Stegostoma tigrinum: one gene and its partner. The protein of the gene in region 1 purifies or fractionates together with the protein of each later gene. This does not show direct contact. Links are inferred from orthologs where the notes say so. Each region holds a gene or a part of one and is shown on either strand. Other genes may lie near its edges.

What was found.
Region 2: the proteins of slc30a5 (region 1) and slc30a6 purify together in Homo sapiens (co-immunoprecipitation; 5 studies listed by BioGRID and IntAct, with this or other methods). This does not show direct contact. The link is inferred for Stegostoma tigrinum from reciprocal best matches to the Homo sapiens genes SLC30A5 and SLC30A6.

Annotation. Positions count from the first base shown.
Region 1 is NC_081356.1:109,703,259-109,712,533, forward strand, and holds the start of slc30a5 (proton-coupled zinc antiporter SLC30A5), read right to left. Parts: upstream 4,515-9,275; 5' UTR 4,182-4,514; coding exon 4,111-4,181; intron 652-4,110; coding exon 529-651; intron 1-528. UniProt on the Homo sapiens protein: Together with SLC30A6 forms a functional proton-coupled zinc ion antiporter mediating zinc entry into the lumen of organelles along the secretory pathway.
Region 2 is NC_081362.1:79,760,408-79,770,554, reverse strand, and holds the start of slc30a6 (zinc transporter 6), read right to left. Parts: upstream 4,154-10,147; 5' UTR 4,112-4,153; coding exon 3,937-4,111; intron 2,124-3,936; coding exon 2,086-2,123; intron 1-2,085. Other genes in the region: protein CEBPZOS-like, read left to right, coding at 5,229-5,281. UniProt on the Homo sapiens protein: Has probably no intrinsic transporter activity but together with SLC30A5 forms a functional zinc ion:proton antiporter heterodimer, mediating zinc entry into the lumen of organelles along the secretory pathway.

The DNA of each region.
Region 1 (9,275 bases):
TACAATCTTTCTTCATTTAAACAGCATTCCACTTTTCTATTCTTACTATCAAAAGATAATTAATTCCTTTATGTCATCTATAGCATTGTTTATTGAATCTGGACGCTGCTTCAGATCTAGAGAATAAGTGCTCCCAAATAGATACACCCTTCCTAAAGCAGATTTGATAAACTTGTTAATTAATTACCAAAGTGGTGATGACAATTTTGAAACATTGCATTATTTGTTATCCCACTAGTTTCACGTTCTTGTACAGGTAGCCCAGATGCAAAGAGATCATAAAGGTGAATAAATTTAAGATAATTACACTGCCTATCCCTTGCTTTTCATTGCAATTAAGAAAGAAAAAATCTTAGAGCTTTTTAATTACTATAACATAGCCCTTATGAATGTCTACAATGCTATCAAAATAATAATACATTTTAAAGCAACTGTAAAGTTACAGAATCACAGATGTTCATCCAATTGCCAGATTGTTCTTAAATCATTGCAGGTGACTTTGAATGATTTTCATGTTAAAAAACTTACCCCAGCTGGATTATGAAGACAAACTGGACAATATGGACAAGTTTGAGGAGGTCATACGATTCAAAAATCCCAATAACTTTAAGGAACTTGGCCAGGCACAGCAGTGTGATATATCGTGTAAACCTGCAGCAAAAATACCAAAGATAGATCAGTATAATAAAATGTGAGGCTGGATGAACACAGCAGGCCAAGCAGCATCTCAGGAGCACAAAAGCTGACGTTTCGGGCCTAGACCCTTCATCAGAGAAGACAGATCAGTACTTTTGTTTTATATACCAGTGAATTAAATAAGATAAATGACAAACTATAGTAACCGTCCTAATTTTTAAACTATGGATACAAATTCAGCAACATGGGTGCAGATTAAGAAACATTTTATTATTTATACATTGAACATTATAGTTAATCCTTTCAAAATTCCCAATGCACAACATTCTTAGCCTCTAAGAATGATACAGAAAGTGGCTCTTCAGCCCATCGGTCTTCTCTTTGAAAGGAGCTATCTAATAAGCTGCACTCCCTTGCCACTTACAGTCGTGCAAAATTTACAAGTGTTCCCAATTCCCTCTCAAAAGTTGTCATTCAATTCCCTCTTAGACAATGCATTCCAAGTCATAACCTGAGGAAGGGTCACCGGACCTAAAATGTTAACTCTGTTTTCTCCTTCACAGATGCTGCCAGACCTGCTGAGCTTTTCCAGCAACTTTGTTTTTGTTCCAGGTCATAATCACTTGCTGCATAAAAGAAATTCTTACCTACCCTTGGGTTTATGCCATTATTTCTCTGTTAGATGTTAAGATATGTGCAGCCTTTTCTCCCCTGGTTCAGTCCCTGCCAAAGACCGAGTCAAGGCAGGAAGAGATAAGTACAATGACCTCACCATGGCATATCAGGTAACTGATCTCATTTCATCCAGGTTATCTCTCATCCCCCACTGCCTCCAAGCTGACAGGCCCCCAGCCCCGCACAGCTTGCTTCTACCTCCTTTCAAAAATCCACAAATAGGATTGCCTGGCAGATCTATTGTGTCAGCCTGCTCCTGCCCCACAGAACTCATCTGTTCCTACCTTGACTCAGTCTTTTCTCTCCTGTCCAGTCCCTGCTAACATACATTTGTGAATCCTCTGACACTTTATGCCAGTTTCAGAAGTGGCTGCTGCCATCTCTTCTTTACCATAGATGTGCAATCCCTTTACAGGTCTATCCCCCACCACGATGGTCTCAGGGTTCTCCGCTTCTTCCTGGAGCAAAGGCCTGAATTGTTCCTACCCACCGCCACCCTCTACTTGGCCAAGCTCATCCTTACCCTCAACAACTTTTCAACTCCTCTCATTTTCTTCAGGCCAGAGGGGTGGCCATGGGCACCTACATGGGTCCCAGTTATGCCTGTCTCTTTGTGAGGTACGTGGAACATTCCTTGCTCCAGTCCTATTCTGGCCACCACCCGGAACACTTTCTCTGCTATATCGATGATATCATCGGTGCTGCTTCCCTCTCTCATCTGGAATTGGAAACGTTCATTGATTCTGCTTCCAATTTCCACCTTGCCCTCACTTTCACTTGGTCTATCTCTGACTCCTCCTTTCACTTCCTCGTTATCTGTTTCAATTTCTGGGAATAGACTGGCCACTAATATCCACTATAAACCGACTGACTTCCACAGCTACCTGATCTATATATCCTTGCACTCTTCTTCTTGTAAAGACTCCATTCTATTCTCTCAGTTCTTCCGACTCTGTCACATATTTTCAGATGATGCCAACATAGACATTTCGGAGGCTCCAGTGTCAATCTTCTTCCTCAACCTTGGATTCTTCAGCATCGTTGTTGAAAGAGTCCTCTGGCCCATCTCCCACACTTCTGCATTTAACCCCTCTCTTCCCTCCCAGAACAGCAACAGGGGACCCCTTGTCCTTATCTACCACCCCCAGCATCCACATCCAGAAGATCATCAGCACCATTTCCACCACCTCCAGTGAGATACCACCAACAGACACATATCCCCCGCGCCCCCCACACCTCCCCTCCATTGTCCGCACAGACCGTTCCCTCTGGGGCACCGTGGTCCAGTCTTCCTTCACTCCCAACACCTGCCCACAGCACCTTCCCTTGCAACTGCTGTAGGTGTAATACCTACCCCACTTACCTCTTCCCACCCTAGTTTCCAAAGGCCCAAACATATCATCCAGGTGAAGCAGCACATTACCTGCATTTCCCACAATCTAGTCTACTGTATTCACTGCTCAGAATGTGGTCTCCTCTATACCAGGGAAACGAAGGGTAGGCTGGATGGCCGCTTTGCAAAACACCCACATTCTGCCCACAGAAGAGATCCTGAGCTTCCAGTTGCCTACCACCTTGACACAACACCCTGTTCCCTAACCAATATCTGTGTCTCAGGCTTGCTGCAGTGTTCCAGTGAAGCACACCACAAGCTGGAAGAACATGTCATTTTCCATTTGGGGACCCTGAAGCCCTCCAGACTCAAAATCAAGTTCAATAATCTTAGGGCCTAAAATCTCCCATGTCCTAGCCCCCACCCCAGGCCTTGTTATCACATAGCCTGTCATTAGACACTACCAATTGTTCGTTACTAACAGTCCCCGTTAACAACAATTCACCCTCCCAGCCAGATCATTATCAACTCCTTTGACTGTCCAACTGTTCCTCTGTCACTTTGGGCTCTATTCCTATCTGACATTTACTCCTTACCACCACCCCCCAACCTATCTTCTGGAATATAAACTGACATTTTCCTAGCTACCATCAGTTCTGAGGAAGGGACACTGGCCATGAAACAGTAACATGATTTTTCTTCACAGATGCTGTCAGACTCATTCTTTTAAGGTAGCTTTTAATCACTGTGCTACTTTAAACTAAATGCAGTCATAATTATTTAATATTTTACAAGACAGTATCGAATCCTACATAATTTAAAACTGACTAATAAATATAAATAAATATTCATAAATTTAAAAACAATGCTGTCTCCTACTTTACTCCTCATAACCCTCACAGAAATTGAGCAGCAGAAATAGAACATGCAGAATTTTGGATCATGCCAACATTTTGTTTTAAAAGTATACAGAATATTAACCCTGCTATCCCAATACCAACAACAGTCATGAAGTAGATGAGAAAACTCTAAATCTGCAAATCAATTTTTCCACACCTGTTTAAATTTGAGAACTGCATCTTTAGTCATGCCCAGTACAGTTTAAAGATAATAAAATGTGAGGCTGGATGAACACAGCAGGCCAAGCAGCATCTCAGGAGCACAAAAGCTGACGTTTCAGGAAAGATAAGGCCTGGGATTTTGACGGGGCGGGGGGGGGATCATGTGTATATCAAAGTGATGTGGTTGAATGCAATGAGACGTTCCAGCTCCAAGAGCTTTTTAGGGAGTTCCAATCGCTACTACCCTTTGGGTGAATAAATTACTCAGTTTCCCTCTCACTCTGCAATCTATTACCTCTGGTAATTGACCACTTTGTTAAGAAAACGTGTTCCGTCCTATGTAGTCCGTTGGCGCTCCTGATATTTTGACTGATCGGCTCACTGACAGTCCCGGGACACATTTACCTGGAGCTGGGTGCATCCACAGGGCCCAGCCTGGTGCTGGAGATGATGTTGTTGGTGTATTTATCCTCCATCCTTCACCCAGCGCACGATCTCACCGCCTCTTCCTCCTCACATCATTCCCCAGGGAACTGCTCCTCGCCGCCACAGTCACAGGCCCGAAACCGGCGGCTCTAATGTCGAAACTAGCCGAGACGCCAGCCACGTCCAGTAAAACGGACCGAGACCGCGCTCCAGCTTCCCGGAAGCCGGTGGGTGTGTACGGGGAGGATCAGCAAATTCCGCACCGGCACTGACCCTCAATCAACCGCCGCACGATTAATCAGCCTAGCAACCGGGGGACAGGAACTCCCAGCAAACCGCTTCCTGCTGACCGTCACCGGCTGATCCTGCCCGCATTCCGCCCCCTGCCGACCGCCACCGATTTGTCCTCCCCGCATTCCGCCCCCTGCCGACCGCCACCGATTTGTCCTCCCCGCATTCCACCCCCTGCCGATCGCCATCGCCCGGTCCTCCTCGGATTCCGCCCCCTGCCGACCGCCACCGCCCGGTCCTCCCCGCATTCCGCCCCCTGCCGACCGCCACCGCCCGTGCCTCCCCGCATTCCGCCCCCTGCTGAGTGCCTGCGCCTCCTGCTGGAAGGCCGGGTTCTGTGCAATACGCTTGTTTCTATGATAATGGGAACTGCAGATGCTGGAGAATCCAAGATAATAAAATGTGAGGCTGGATGAACACAGCAGGCCCAGCAGCATCTCAGGAGCACAGAAGCTGACGTTTCGGGCCTAGACCCTTCATCAGAGAGGATGTCTGAGGATCTCTCTGATGAAGGGTCTAGGCCCGAAACGTCAGCTTTTGTGCTCCTGAGATGCTGCTTGGCCTGCTGTGTTCAATCAGCCTCACACTTTGTTAGGCTTGTTTCTAACTGCGTCTTGGTAGGAAGTATTTTCTCTTTCCATTCTCCAGAACAACGGGCAGCGAGATTAAGTTTCGATTTGCTCTCAGAAAGAGTCAGCAGTGGGTTGAAGACTAATGTTGAAATGACAGAATTAGTCACAGTGCAGATGGTGTCAATTCGGCCCATACAGTCAATGTGGGTTCTTCCAATGAACACATTGTTGTGAGGAAGGGTCACTAGCAACTTCACCTGGACTATCTCTAACACCTCCCTCACCTTCCTGGACTTCTCTGTCTCATCTCGGGGAACCACCTACAAACCGATATCCATTTCAAGCCCACCGACTCCCACAGCTACCTAGAATACACCTCCTCCCACCCACCCTCCTGCAAAAATTCCAGCCCCTATTCCCAATTCCTCCGCCTCCGCCGCATCTGCTTCCAGGATGAAGCATTCACTCCCGCACATCCCAGATGTCCTCGTTTTTCAAGGACTGCAACTTTCCCCTCCTCAGTGGTGAAGAACATCATCGACAGTGTCTCCCGCATTTCATTCCTCACACCCCTTCCCCACAATAACAATCAAAACAGAATCCCCCCCGTCCTCACGTACCACCCCACCAACCTCGGATACAATGCATCATCCTCCGACATTGCTGCCATCTGCAATCTGACCCCACCACCAAAGACATTTTCCCCTACCCACCCTTGTCTGCTTTCCGGAGAGATCATTCTCTCCGTGACTACCTTGTCCACTCCACACTCCCCTCCAACCCCACCACACCCGGTACTTTTTCCTGCAACCGCAGGAAGTGCTACATCTGTCCCCACACCTCCTCCCTCATCCACATCCCAGGCCCCACATCAAGCAGAAGTTCACCTGCACATCTGCCAGTGTGGCATACTGCATCCGCTGTTCCCGTTGTGGCCTCCTCTACATTGGGGAAAGCAAGCGGAGGCTTGGGGACCGCTTTGCAGAACGCCTACGCTCGGTTTGCAATAAACAACTGTACCTCCCATTTGCTAACCATTCCAACTCCCATTACTCAGACGACGTGTCCATCCTGGGCCTCCTGCAGTGCCACAACGATGCCACCTGAAGGTTGCAGGAACAGCAACTCATATTCCGCTTGGGAACCCGGCAGCCCAATGGTATCAATGTGGATTTCACAAGCTTCAAAATCTCCCTTCCCCCAACAGCATCCCAAAACCAGCCCCGCTCGCCCCCGCCTCCCTAACCTGTTCTTCCTCTCACCTATCCCCTCCTCCCACCTCAAGCCACACCCCCATTTCCTACCTACTAACCTCATCCCGCCCCTTTGACCTCACCTTTACTGACTCCATCCCTACCTCTTTAATTTGTCTGTCTCCTCTCGACCTATCTTCTCCTTTATCCATCTTCTGTCCGCCTCCTCCTCTCTCCTTACTTATTTCAGAACCCACTTCCCCTCCCCCATTTCTGTTGAAGGGCCTAGGCCTGAAACGTCAGCTTTCCTGCTCCTAAGATGCTGCTTGGCCTGCTGTGTTCATCCATCTCCACACCTTGTTATCCCGAAACATTAACTCTGTTTTTCCCTTCACAGATGCTGCCAGACCAGCTGAGCTTTTCCAACAACTTTGTTTTTGTTCCTGATTTACAGCATTTGCAGTTCTCCACTTGTTTGGATGAGTGTAGGTCTGACAACATTCAAGAAGTCTGGCTTTTATTCAGGACAAAGCAGCCTACTTGCATCCACCCACAAGCATCCAACCCCTCCGCCACCATCAGCTATAACCAAATCATCAATCAAAATGTATCTTTTTAAATTACTTGTTATGGGATGTTGGCGTCGCTGGCTAGATCAGCATTTATTGCCTGGAGTGCAACCAACAAACAAGCTGCTTTACCAAGTTCCCAAACAGGTTTGGGAGGAAGGAAGTAATATTGGAACTAGTCTCCTCCTAAATATTTTTCCGTAAAATTATTCTAACATATTAAGATAAATCTTGCCCCCATTTTAATTCCTTTCTCGTCCTCTTGGGAATTCAATATTTTGTTTTGCCCAGGTTGCTTGAGAGGTCTCAAGCCTGTCATTTTTCTACTAATGATGAATTACCAAATGACTGAATTGTGTTGGATTGAAATTTTAGAACAGAATCTGTGGTGCCTGAATGGAGCTGCTTGAAGTATGAGATAACAAGGCGTGGAGCTGGATTAACTCAGCAGGCCAAGCAGCATCATAGGAGCAGGAAAGCTGATGCTTTGGGCCTAGACCCTTCTTCAGACCAAAACCAGCCCAGTTCGTCCCCTCCCCCCACTGCACCACACAACCAGCCCAGCTCTTCCCCTCCACCCACTGCATCCCAAAACCAGTCCAACCTGTCTCTGCCTCCCTAACCTGTTCTTCCTCTCACCCATCCCTTCCTCCCACCCCAAGCCGCACCTCCATCTCCTACCTACTAACCTCATCCCACCTCCTTGACATGTCCGTCTTCCCTGGACTGACCTATCCCCTCCCTACCTCCCCACCTAAACTCTCCTCTCCACCTATCTTCTTTTCTCTCCATCTTCGGTCCGCCTCCCCCCTCTCCCTATTTATTCCAGAACCCTCACCCCATCCCCCTCTCTGATGAAGGGTCTAGGCCCGAAACGTCAGCTTTTATGCTCCTGGGATGCTGCTTGGCTTGCTGTGTTCATCCAGCCTCACATTTTATTATCTGGCCCAAAGCTTCAGCTTTCCTGCTCCTCTGATTCTGCTTGGCCTGCTGTGTTCATCCAGCTCTACACCTTGTTATCTCAGATTCTCTAAGCTTGAAGTATGAACTCAGATTTACTATCTCACGTTTTAAAAGTCTTCACATAATCAGAATTATCCCCGAACTCTGCAGAAGGCTGAAAGTACAAAGCCAGAAGTATTAAAGTAATATTGAATGACTGACAGAAGAATATGCAAATTTTACTACCAGCATGATATTTTGTCTAATTTAACATTTACAGTGACTCGCAGATTGGCTATATCAGCATTTGTTGCCCATTTTGAGCCGTCCTTAAGATGATGAAGGTGAGCTTCAGTACACAGTGCTGTTTAGGAGGGAGTCCATAAGACCATTAGAAATAGAAATAGGAGTAAGCCGTTCAGGCCATTGAGCTTGCTCCCCCGTACAATAGGATCTGACACCATTCCTCATATTCACTTTCCTTCTCTTTCCCCATAACCCTTCATTCTCCTATTGATCAAGAATCTACCTATCTCAGCCTTAAATATGGCCAAGGAGTTCCAAAGATTCTCAACTGTCAGAGAAGAAATTCCTCTTTACCTCAGTTTTAAATTGACACCCTTTATTCTAAGACTATGTCCTCTTATGTTAGACTTCTAAATGAAGGAAAATATTCTTTCAGCATTTGTCCTGTTAAGCCCCTTAAGAAACCTATCTGTTTCAATGAGAACACCTCTCATTCTTCTACATACCAATGAGTAGAGTCCCAACTTGATTAATCTTTTAATCAATTAATTCTCCATTCCAGGGATATCCCACTGATTCTTCTGTGAACTGCCGCCAATGAAATGATATCTTTCCTTAATTAGGGGGACCAAAACTACATAGAATACTCCAGAAGTGGTCTCACTAGCATCTTGCACAATTGTAGCAAGACTTTCCTCCTGTTATATTCCAATCCCCTTGAAATAAGCGCCAACATTTCATAAGATTTCCAGATTGCCTGCAACACCTGTGTGTTTGGATTCTGTGTTTCATGCACAAATATTCCCCAAGTGCCTTTGTGTTTCAGCTTTTTGCAGTTTCCCTCCATCTAAATTGTGATCATATTATGGCTTTAAATGGTGTATTTTGTTCTAGTTTTTCTTTTGAAGAGAGGTTGAGACAGAGATACAAAGCAGCATGATTCAAGACAATAAAGCAAACAGCTTGTGAGGCCTTGGGTTTTTTTTAAAGTTGGAAGAATAGAAGCAGCCTGAATGGGTGGGGTCAGGCTCCCACGGAACCAGGGTTTTTGTTTAGCTTTCAGTAGTTAGGGTTTGGAAGTTGCTATACATCTCTCCCAGCTACCACAAAATGCTTGAGTTCACTGTCTCTACGCCAAAATTTTTTCTTGATGTTCTTTCCTCCTGGACTGAAGAAACATGACATATGAAACAATCTTATTTATTGAATTTGCCTTTACCACGGCTTTGTCTATTGGATGTTACTGTATTGGAACAGTTGCTGTTTAGTAGTTAAAAAAAATCCATTATTCTGTTAAGTTTTCCAATAGAATCGGAGTTATCCCATTTCCT
Region 2 (10,147 bases), on another chromosome or scaffold:
TCATGCATAAGCAGGTTCAGGAACAGCTTCTTTCTAGCCCTTATCAGACTGTTGAATGGACTCTAGCCTCTGTTAGTGTAACCTACAAAGTAACCTATATGTCTCTAAATCCATAAATCCTTTGCTTCCTGTGACCTGCCTGTATGGCTCATAAACAAAACTTTTCACTGTATTTCGGTACACGTGACAATAAATTAATTAATCGATCAATTCTTCACAGCCAATGCCCCAAGATTCTCCAGTGCCATTCCTGGTTAATGTTCTGTCCAGGTGGCAGGACAGATTCTGCAGGAATGCACCCTCTAAGCTATGCAGTTGATGCGAAGGGCCACTCGGTGTTCTGATGCATTCATTCCAGTTCTCTGCCACTGCTGCACATGGACCATGGAAGTCTGTAGAGTGGCTGGAGAAAACAGAAGGAACATAGTGCTGCCACATCTGCTGGGCTATCAGGAGTGTGTGGCTTGAGAGTCAACATTAACTCCAAGCCACATGTAGTTTCATTGCATCAGGTCAATTTTGGGCAAAGAAATATCCAACTGATTATCACCTATTTCCCTCACCACCGTTAATGAATTAGTGCTTCTCCATGTTGAACACCACTAAGAAGAAACACAGAGGGTAGCACACAACCCAAGACCTAATAATATAAAATCCGATGTCATCTGTTCACTGATCAACGCAGAGAATGAACAGATATATACTTTTTAAAGCCAGCTTATTTAATTGTAGACCAATGCATACGATTAGCAAACAGAATGAACGCACAATAAACCAAAAGAACTGCATTTATGGAAATCAGAAAGAAAACCAGAAATTGCTAGAAAAGCTCAGAAGGTCTGGCAGCATACGTGGAGAGAAATCAGAGTTAACGTTTCAGGTTCTGACAAAGGATCATTGGACATGAAACGTTAACTCTGATTTCTCTCCATAAATGCTGCCACACCTGCTGACCTTTTCCAGCACTGTTTTAATTTGAGAATGAACACACAAATTGTTTTAAATCAAAAAAGAAAATGCTGAAGAAACTCAACAAGCCCGGCAGCATCTTTGAAAAGAGAAACAGAGCTAATATTTCGGAACCTGATATCACTCTTGTCTGAATTGAATGGAAATGGAAAAGCTTGTTTTATGCCGTTGACAAAGGAAAAGCAAGTGGTACAGATGGGGAGGGTGCCCAGAACAAAAGATAAAGGGAGTGTTAATGGTGGTAAAGAAGTGTTTGAGATGTAGAACAGGCATGAATAGGTGAGTAAAGGATAAAAATCAATGCTAACAAGTTACAAACAAGGTGGGGAGGATAGGAATTGTCATCAAAATGAAAGACCAACCTTCTGTTCTGAAGTTGTTGAATTCAACTTTTACATTTAGAGGCTATAGGGTGCCTAAGTAGTCAATGAGTTTCTGTTACTACAGCTCACGTTAAATGTCAGTGGAACACTGCCACAGGCCAGGACAGAATTGTTAGCATTGGAGGAAGATGGTAACCTCCGTCGGGCATTTTGAAATTGGAAACGCCTTAATTCTGTTTCTTGGTCCATAGATGTTGTCAAACGATCCAGGTTTCTCCAGCATTTTCTGTTTTTATTTCAGATTTCTAACATCTGTATTTTGTTCCTAATTGTACGAACTGTTTGATTGACTCTTCCTCCAATCCTCTGCAAAGGGGAAAGCCTTGCCACCACTAAGGTCAATAATCTATTGTTTATTAGAAACAGTAATAACAATCTTACATCTTATCACTCTATGCTACTGTTACAGATCTCCAAATTTCTTTTAATGACTGTCTACAATACAAATGGTAAGCCTTCATCCCTGTGCCATCTAATTAACATGAAAGATTTCAAAATGGTGTTTCTGTTCATGAAACAAATTTAAAGCAATACTCAAAAGTACAATTAATTAACACTTTAAAAAAAGTTAGACGCCATCAGTTAAGATGCGAGTAGTGTCCTGAGTTTCCAGTCATTATTTTGACACAAGTTTCCTCAGACACCATAGTCAGAAAGTAGATTCCTAATTCACTCAAGTTGTGTTTGAATAAAGAACAAGGAGAAATCAGACCATGTTAAACAGTGGACTTACCAAAAGATAAGTACTGGTATCTAGTTTTCTCTTGTAGCCTGGAAGATCAACATTGATCAAGATATATAAATATTTATGAAGGTCATTTAAAACACATTTTAATAGGAACATTTTAAATGACTTAAGTAGGTCAAATACTATAGGAACATACATCTTTAACATATCACAAATAACCCACTATTGGATGAGTTTTTATAATAATATTAGATTTTCATATTTGGGTGCTCCTTTCTACTTTTCAAAGCTTATTGTAATGCTGTATATCGAAAACATCAACTTTGCATTTACCTTTTTTTGAATGGCAGCTAAGCAAAATCTGAATGAAAGCACCAGGGATGATAAAGATAACCACCAGGCAATAATAAGCTCGATCTAAACAGTCTGGTCTTTTTATCCTTAAATTTTCCTAAAAACTTTAAATAGTTAAGAGCAGTATATAGCGTGGTCTCAGACACACTATTGGAAAGATATGTGTTGAAATGTTACAAAGCCAACACTAAGCTCAAGGATAAGAGATAATGGGAACTGCAGATGCTGGAGAATTCCAAGATAAAATGTGAGGCTGGATGAACACTAAACTCAAGGTCTCCTTCTCAATTGCGGAATATTTTTGTCGAAGATTATTCAATGTTCCGGCAAAATACCCAACAGAGCTTTCTATATTCTTATCTTCATGCAAGAGCACAGCATTGACACCCACATCAACCACCACCTTGAATGGGTTTGCATAATTTGGTGTAGCTAACACTGGGGCAGGGGTTAATACAGCTTTCAGGCTGTCAAATGCCTTCTGATGTCTCTGCCCACTATGATTTTCTGCAAATCTTCAATAAATCAGTCAGTGGAGTAATCACACCACTAAAATTCGATATGAATGTCTAATTAAAACAACTCAGTCGCAGAAATCATCAATGATTAGATTAGATTAGGTTAGCATACCTACAGTGTGGAAACAGGCCCTTTGGCCCAACAAGTCCACACCGCCCCTTGATACATCCCCCCCCCCCGTCCCGTCCCCCCCCCCCCGTCGTCGGGGACGGGGGGGGGAGAGGGGGAGGGAGGGGAGAGGGGGAGGGAGGGGAGAGGGGGAGGGAGGGGAGAGGGGGAGGGGAGAGGGGGAGGGGGGACGGGGGAGGGGGGACGGGGGAGGGGGGACGGGGGAGGGGGGACGGGGGAGGGGGGACGGGGGAGGGGGGACGGGGGAGGGAGGGGGGACACGGGCGAGGGGGGGCGACGACGGGGGGGGACGACGACGGGGGGGGGACGGGGGACGGGGGGGGAGACGGGGGGGGGGACGACGGGGGGGGACGGGGGACGGGGGACGGGACGGGGGGGGGGGGGACGGGGGGGGGACGGGGGGGGGGGACGGGGGGGGGGGGACGGGGGGGGGGACGGGGGGGGGCGGGGGGGACGGGGGGGACGGGGGGGACGGGGGGACGGGGGGGGAGGGGGGGGAGGGGGGGGGAGGGGGGGGACGACGGGGGGGGGGGACGACGGGGGACGACGACGGGGGGGGGGGAGGAGAAGGGAGGGGGGGGACGGAGGGGAGGCGGAGGGGGGGGGAGGGGGACGGGACGGGGAGGGGGACGGGGGGGGGAGGGGGACGGGGAGGGGGACGGGGGGGGGAGGGGGACGGGGAGGGGGACGGGGGGGGGAGGGGGACGGGGGGGGGACGGGGGGGGGAGGGGGACGGGGGGGGAGGGGGACGGGGGGGGGAGGGAGGGGGGGGGACGGGGGGGGAGGGAGGGGGGGGACGGGGGGGGAGGGAGCTGTGGGGAGGTAAGGGAGTGTCGGGGACACAGTAAAGGAGTTTTCCTTAGTCTGCTTTCCCCCCCACCACTTTGCTCTAACCTTCCTCCTCCTTCACATTCACCACATCCACCGCCACCATGTCCGGCTTGTCCAGGCCGATGTTGAACGGGAAGACCTTCCTCTCGGTCACCCCCGAGGGGACCACATCGGGCTTGGGCCCGAATTTGCGAGGGTAATAGTCCCCGCTCAGGTACCGAGACGTGTCTTCCGCCATCTTCCGCCGCCTGCTCGATTCGGCCCCGCCCCCACGGACTGTTAAAGCTGGTCCATCCCCCCGCCGTCACGCGGACAATGCCAGTCAACAAAACCCTTCTTTACAGCCCGTGCAAACTTCGTTTACCCAAAATACACCGCCTCCCCAAATACATCCATATTTACTTTTGCACTCATCACTTCTGGTCTAGAGATAGAAAATGTGTTGACATGGGGACGTTTCCTTTAACACATATTGCTGTTTGTACTGAGATGACAAGGTGTGTCAGAAATCTTCAGAAGGGTCCAGACCCGAAACGTCAGCCTTCCTGCTCCTCTGATGCTGCTTGGCCTGCTGCGTTCATCCAGCTCTATACCTTGTTATCTCAGATTCTCTAGCATCTACAGTTCCTACTATCTCTTGCTGTTTGTACTGACGGTTCTTAAGCTCACTCGGGAAACTCTACAGCTTGCTAACTAGCTGCCGGGGACAAGGGAAGACAACCATCAAACTGGGTTTGCAAGCTGCAACCAAGAAAAAGAGTTCGCCCACATTGTAAATAATGAATTTTGCAAACTATGCAGCAGCAAATGATAATATTTTAAATTACTTTGAGGGGACAGGGCAAGAGTATTTTCGTTCAAACTAGATTTTAAAAAAAGTTTTCGGACTGTCAACAGGATTTTCGTCTACTAGCAGAGTGTTTAAAATGCATTGGGATCCCATACTGTATCCTGAAAACATTGATGAAACTGTTCGGTATTGAGGATTTGTGAAGCAAGGTTTTTGCGAACAAGTTGTGAGGTAAACTTCAGTAAAACAAGCGGGCGTTTTTATTGCTGAGATCCTGTTAAAATATTACTGATTGAACTGACTCTTATTTTTCCTGAACAGCCGGGTCCAGCCACAACGGTTGACAAAACCAGGACAAGTGATATGGTGGGAGGAGGTACAGGCAGCTCTGTCAGGAGCACGGAATTCGAAACAGTTCAAACGCGTTAGGGTCGGTACGGTGTCCTCCACGGCTAACAAGTAAAGTGCGCAGACTCAGGATCCGTCCCAGAGCTGCAGTGACTTGTGAAGGTGAGTGTGATAGTGAAGGGTCGGGTGCTATTAAAACAGCCGCACGCTGTTCTTCATGGGAACAGGATGTCATTCCAGGTTTTTGGTATCCGTTGTTCGTGTCTCTGGGTATCGTTTGAATATTGAATATTTAGTGTTTCCAGTTACAGGATACGTACTGACCATTGACACTTTCGATATAATTATACATAAGTTGTGATATTGCAGTTAGGTCTGCTGCTTTGTTTTTTTGTAACAGTGCATAGTATGCATTGATATTTTAACAGCCAACCTTTACTAAATACCTAAATGTGAACTGTCAGGGTGGAGTAGTGTGAAACGTTATTGGTGGGTTTGCTGAGAATATAATCAGCGGATACCTTTCAGGGCGTTCTTGTGGTTGGTGAGATTATATGAAGTAAAACAGAAAATGCTGGAAAATTTCAGCAGGTCTAGCAGCATTAGTGGAGAGAAATTATGAGCTCTTCAATCTTTGACAATGGTGTTTAAAATTGGGAAGAGACCAAACAAACACAGTTGGAAAACTTAAATTGCAAGATGGTTTATTTGGACAAGGCCATGGAGATAGGTGTGTAACAGGATTGTTCAGCTTTAAAAATAAGCAAAGAATATCATTATCAATTATTTGGAATCTGTGCAATTGTTAGCAGTAATCATCTCAGGATAAGATTGTTTGACAAAATTGGAGCTCTTTATGAAAATTAGTGAAAATGTTGCTGAGAACCTTACAATAGTTACATTGAACATAGAACATTACAGCAAAGTACAGGCCCTTCGGCCTTCAATGTTGTGCTGACCTGTCATACTGATCTGAAGCCCATCTAACCTACACTATTCCATGTACATCCATATGCTTATCCAATGACGACTCAAATGTACTTAAACTTGCCAAATCTACGACTGTTGCAGGCAAAGCGTTCCATTCCTGTACTACTGAGTAAAGAAACTACCTGACATCTGTCCTTTATCTTTCACCCCTCAATTTAAAGCGATGCCCCCTCGTGCTTGCCGTCATCACCCTAGGAAAAAGGCTCTCCCTATCCACCCTATCTAACCCTCTGATTATTTTATATGTTTCAATTAAGTCACCTCTCAACCTTCTTCTCTCTAACGAAAACAGCCTCAAGTCCCTCAGCCTTTCCTCGTAAGACCTTCCCTCCATACCAGGCAACATCCTAGTAAATCTCCTCTGCACCCTTTCCAAAGCTTCCACATCCATTGAGTTGACTCAATTGTGTTACATTATTAAAGTTTAAGGACCAATTGGAGAGGATCATATTGCAGAATTTCATATATGAAGATATGGTTGAAGAAGATTACATGCTATTGGCATCAACTTGCGTGAACTGATTGGGAAGACAATGGGAGCAGAAGCTAAGACGCGAAGTTTCTGGTGGGTTGACTTCACTGCTGTCACGGTGAAGTTAGAAACTGATATTAAATCTTCTGAAACAAGAAGATTAGGGAATGTTGCTTGTGGGTTGAGGAAGAATTGTGGCCTAGAGAAGGTTTTTAAATTTTTCTCTTATTTGAATTCAAACTTCATCTGCTGTGGTGGCAGTCCAAGGCCAGGTACACAGAGCCTGAGTCTCTGGATTAATAGTCCAGCAATAATACCACTAGGCCACTGCTTCCCCTTTTTAAAGATGGCCCCCATGGTGACCTCAGCTGGTATGGCAATTGAACCCGCACTGTTGCCATTACTCTGCATTGCAAACCAGCTGTCCAGCCATTTCATGGGATGGAGGAATCAAAGAATCCATACATTCCATAAAGAGGCCATTTGGCCTATCGAGTCTGCAAAAACCTGCCAAACAGCATCCCATCAGACCTGTCCACACTATCTTATCCTCGTAACCTCACAATTACCGTAGCTAATACACCTAGCCTGCACATGAAGTCGTTGGCTTGCTCGCTGAGCTGGCTGGTTTTCATTAAGACGTTTCATCACCAAGCTAGGCGATGAAACATCTGAGCGAGAACAAGCCAGCTTGGTGAGCAAGCCAACAACCTCACCCACAACCCAAGGTACTGATCTTTGCCAAAACTTTGAATAGCCTGTACATCCCTGGACACTATGGGAGAATTTAGCATGGCCAGTCCACCTAACATGCCTGTCATCGAACTGTGGGAGGAAACCCATGCAGGCATGGGGAGAATGTGCAAACCCCACAAAGTCATCCAAGGCTGGAATTGAACCTGAATCCTGGGTGTTGTGAAGCAGCAGCAGAGACCACTGTACCATCCGAAATAACTTAACATCAGCAGGAACACCCCATCCAATATGCATGCAGTCTGATTTAAGCAAGTTGAAAGACAAATTGTGATACAGTTCACGTTCACCAAAGGAGCCTATCTGAAGGGGGCTCCCAGATTTGAATTAGGGACCTCTTGATCTGCAGTCAAATGCTCTACATCTGAACTATACCCTCATTATTCACTGCCTGGACCAGCATTAATTCCCAACCTTGGTTGCCTTGAAAAGGTAGCAATGAGTTGCCTTGAACAGTCTTAGTCCTAGTGCTCTATATAGGCCTACAATGCTGTTAGGAAATGAATTCAGAATTTTAACCCAACAACACTGAAGGAACAAAGAAATATTTCTATGTTGGGATGGTGTGTGGCTTGGAGTGGAATTTTGCAGGTGGTGATTTTTTAGGTATTTTGTCCTTCCATATGGAAGCGGTCTTGGGTTTGGAAGATGATGTCTCAGGAGCTTTAGTGTATTTTGACAGTAGACTGTATACATTCTTGCTCCTGAACATCGGTGCCAGAGGGAGTGGATGCTTGTGGATGGGGTGCTAATTAAGTGGCTGCTCTATCCTGGGTGGTCTCAAGGTTCTTGTGTTGTTGGAGCTGCACTCATCCAGCCAAGTAGGAATATTCCATCACACTCCTGACTTGTGCCTTGTAGTTGGTGGACAGGCTTTGGAGAGTCAGATGGTGAGTTACTTGCTGCGGAATTCTCAGGCCCTGACTGGCTTTTGTAGCCACTGTATTTGTATGATGAGCCCAGTTCAGTTTTTGGTCAATGGTAACCCCCAGGATGTTGATAGTGGGGGATTTAGTGATGGTATTTCTATTGAATGTCAAGGGGCAGTGGTTAGATTGTACCTTACTGGAGATGGTCATTGACTAGCATTTGTGTGGTGAAATGCTAGTTGCCCTTTTCAGTCAAAGCCTGAATATTGTCTCAGTCTTGCTGCATTTGAACATGGACTTCCTCAGTGTCTGAGGAGTCACAAACAACACCTCAGTATTATGCAAACATCGGTGAACATTTCTACTTCTGACCTTTATAGTGGGAATGTCATTGATGAAGATGGTTGGACCTAGGACACTACCCTGTGGAACTAGAGCTCTTGTGCATTGGTATCCATATTTCTGGGTCAGGAAGCCCAGGCTCGAGTCCCACCTATACCAGAGGCGTGTAATAGCATCTCTGAACCGGTTAATTAGAAATACCTACCCTGACAAACCACAGCGATGACTTCCAAAGAACCACAACCCTCTTCCATTGGACCAAGTATGACCCTAGCCAGCGGAGAGTTTTCCCCCTTATTCCGGTTTTGTTCATGCTCCTTGATGCCATAGTCAGTCACATGGCCTCAATAGCAAGAGCATGTACTGTCACCTCCTCTTTGGATTTCAGCGCAATTGTACATGTTTGAGTTAAGCTTGGAATGAGGTGAGGAGTCAAATGGCCCTGGGAGTACAGCAAACAGCGTGCCAATGAACAGATAACATTTGATAGCATCATCCATCATTTTGAGAGTCAACTGATGGGGCATTAATTGGCCAGGTTGGATTTGACCTGCTTTTTTGGTGTACAGCATGTACCTGGGCAATTTTCTACATTATCAGGTAGTTGCCAGTATTGTAATTGTACCGGAAAAAGCTTGACAAGGGGTGCAGCAAGTTCTGGAGCACAAGTCTTCAGTGCTATTGCTGGAAGGTTGTCAGGGTCCATTTTCTTTTGCTGTAACCAATGCCTTATGTATCCATGTGCATTTGTGACAGACGTATTGCTGAGGATGAGTTTAAGTATGTTTTTCTCTCATTTTGATTCCCTCACCATCTGTGCCATTGTCGTTTAGCTTGATCAGTCATACAGTTGCCAAGTCACTGGTTGGGAAATTTCAATGACCATCACTAGGAGTACATTCTGCACCCCTGCTATCCTCCATGTTTCCTCCAAGTGTTTTCAACTTGGAGGACAATTCAAGGGAGGAAAATATGTGTTAATTAGTAGGAGGTTTCCTTGCCTGTGTTTGAACCAGTGACTCAGCCATCATGAAGTCTCATGGAAATATTGAGGACTCCCAGGGCTGGTCCCAACTATGTGCTATTGTGTTGCCACCTCTGCTGAGCCTATCCTGCTGGTGCAACAGGATGTATCCAGGGGTAGTAATCATGGTGTCAGGGACAGTCATATACATAGAATCATACTTTAGAGATAAGCAAATCCTGAGAAGGATAAAGAAGTTTACGTAGAGGTATTGATAGGATAAGTTGGGAAGAAGTTGGCAAATGGATTATATTATGGTAAAATGTGAGGTGATTAATTTTGAAAGGGAGAATGAGAACTAAGAATTGGAGGTACTTGTGCATGAAAAACAGAGCTAGCACAAGTGCAGAAGGTCATCAGAATGGCTAATGGATGTTAGCCCTTATTTCAAGAGGTTTAAGAGTAGGGAGGATTTACAGCAATTGTACAAGGCGCTGGTGAGAGTGTATCTGCAGTCCTGAGAGCAGTTTTCCTTATTTAAGGAAAGATATTATTTCATTGAAGGCAGTTGAGAGAATATTTGTAGGGATAGTGTAGGGGGATGGGCTTTGATTAGTTCACAGGTCGGCGTAACATCAAGGTCGGAAGGGCCTGTTCTGCGCTGTATTATTCTATGTTCTATGATCCCTGGTATGGAGGGATCATCTTATGAATAAAAGTTAGAGGTTGGCGTTGTACTCGGAATT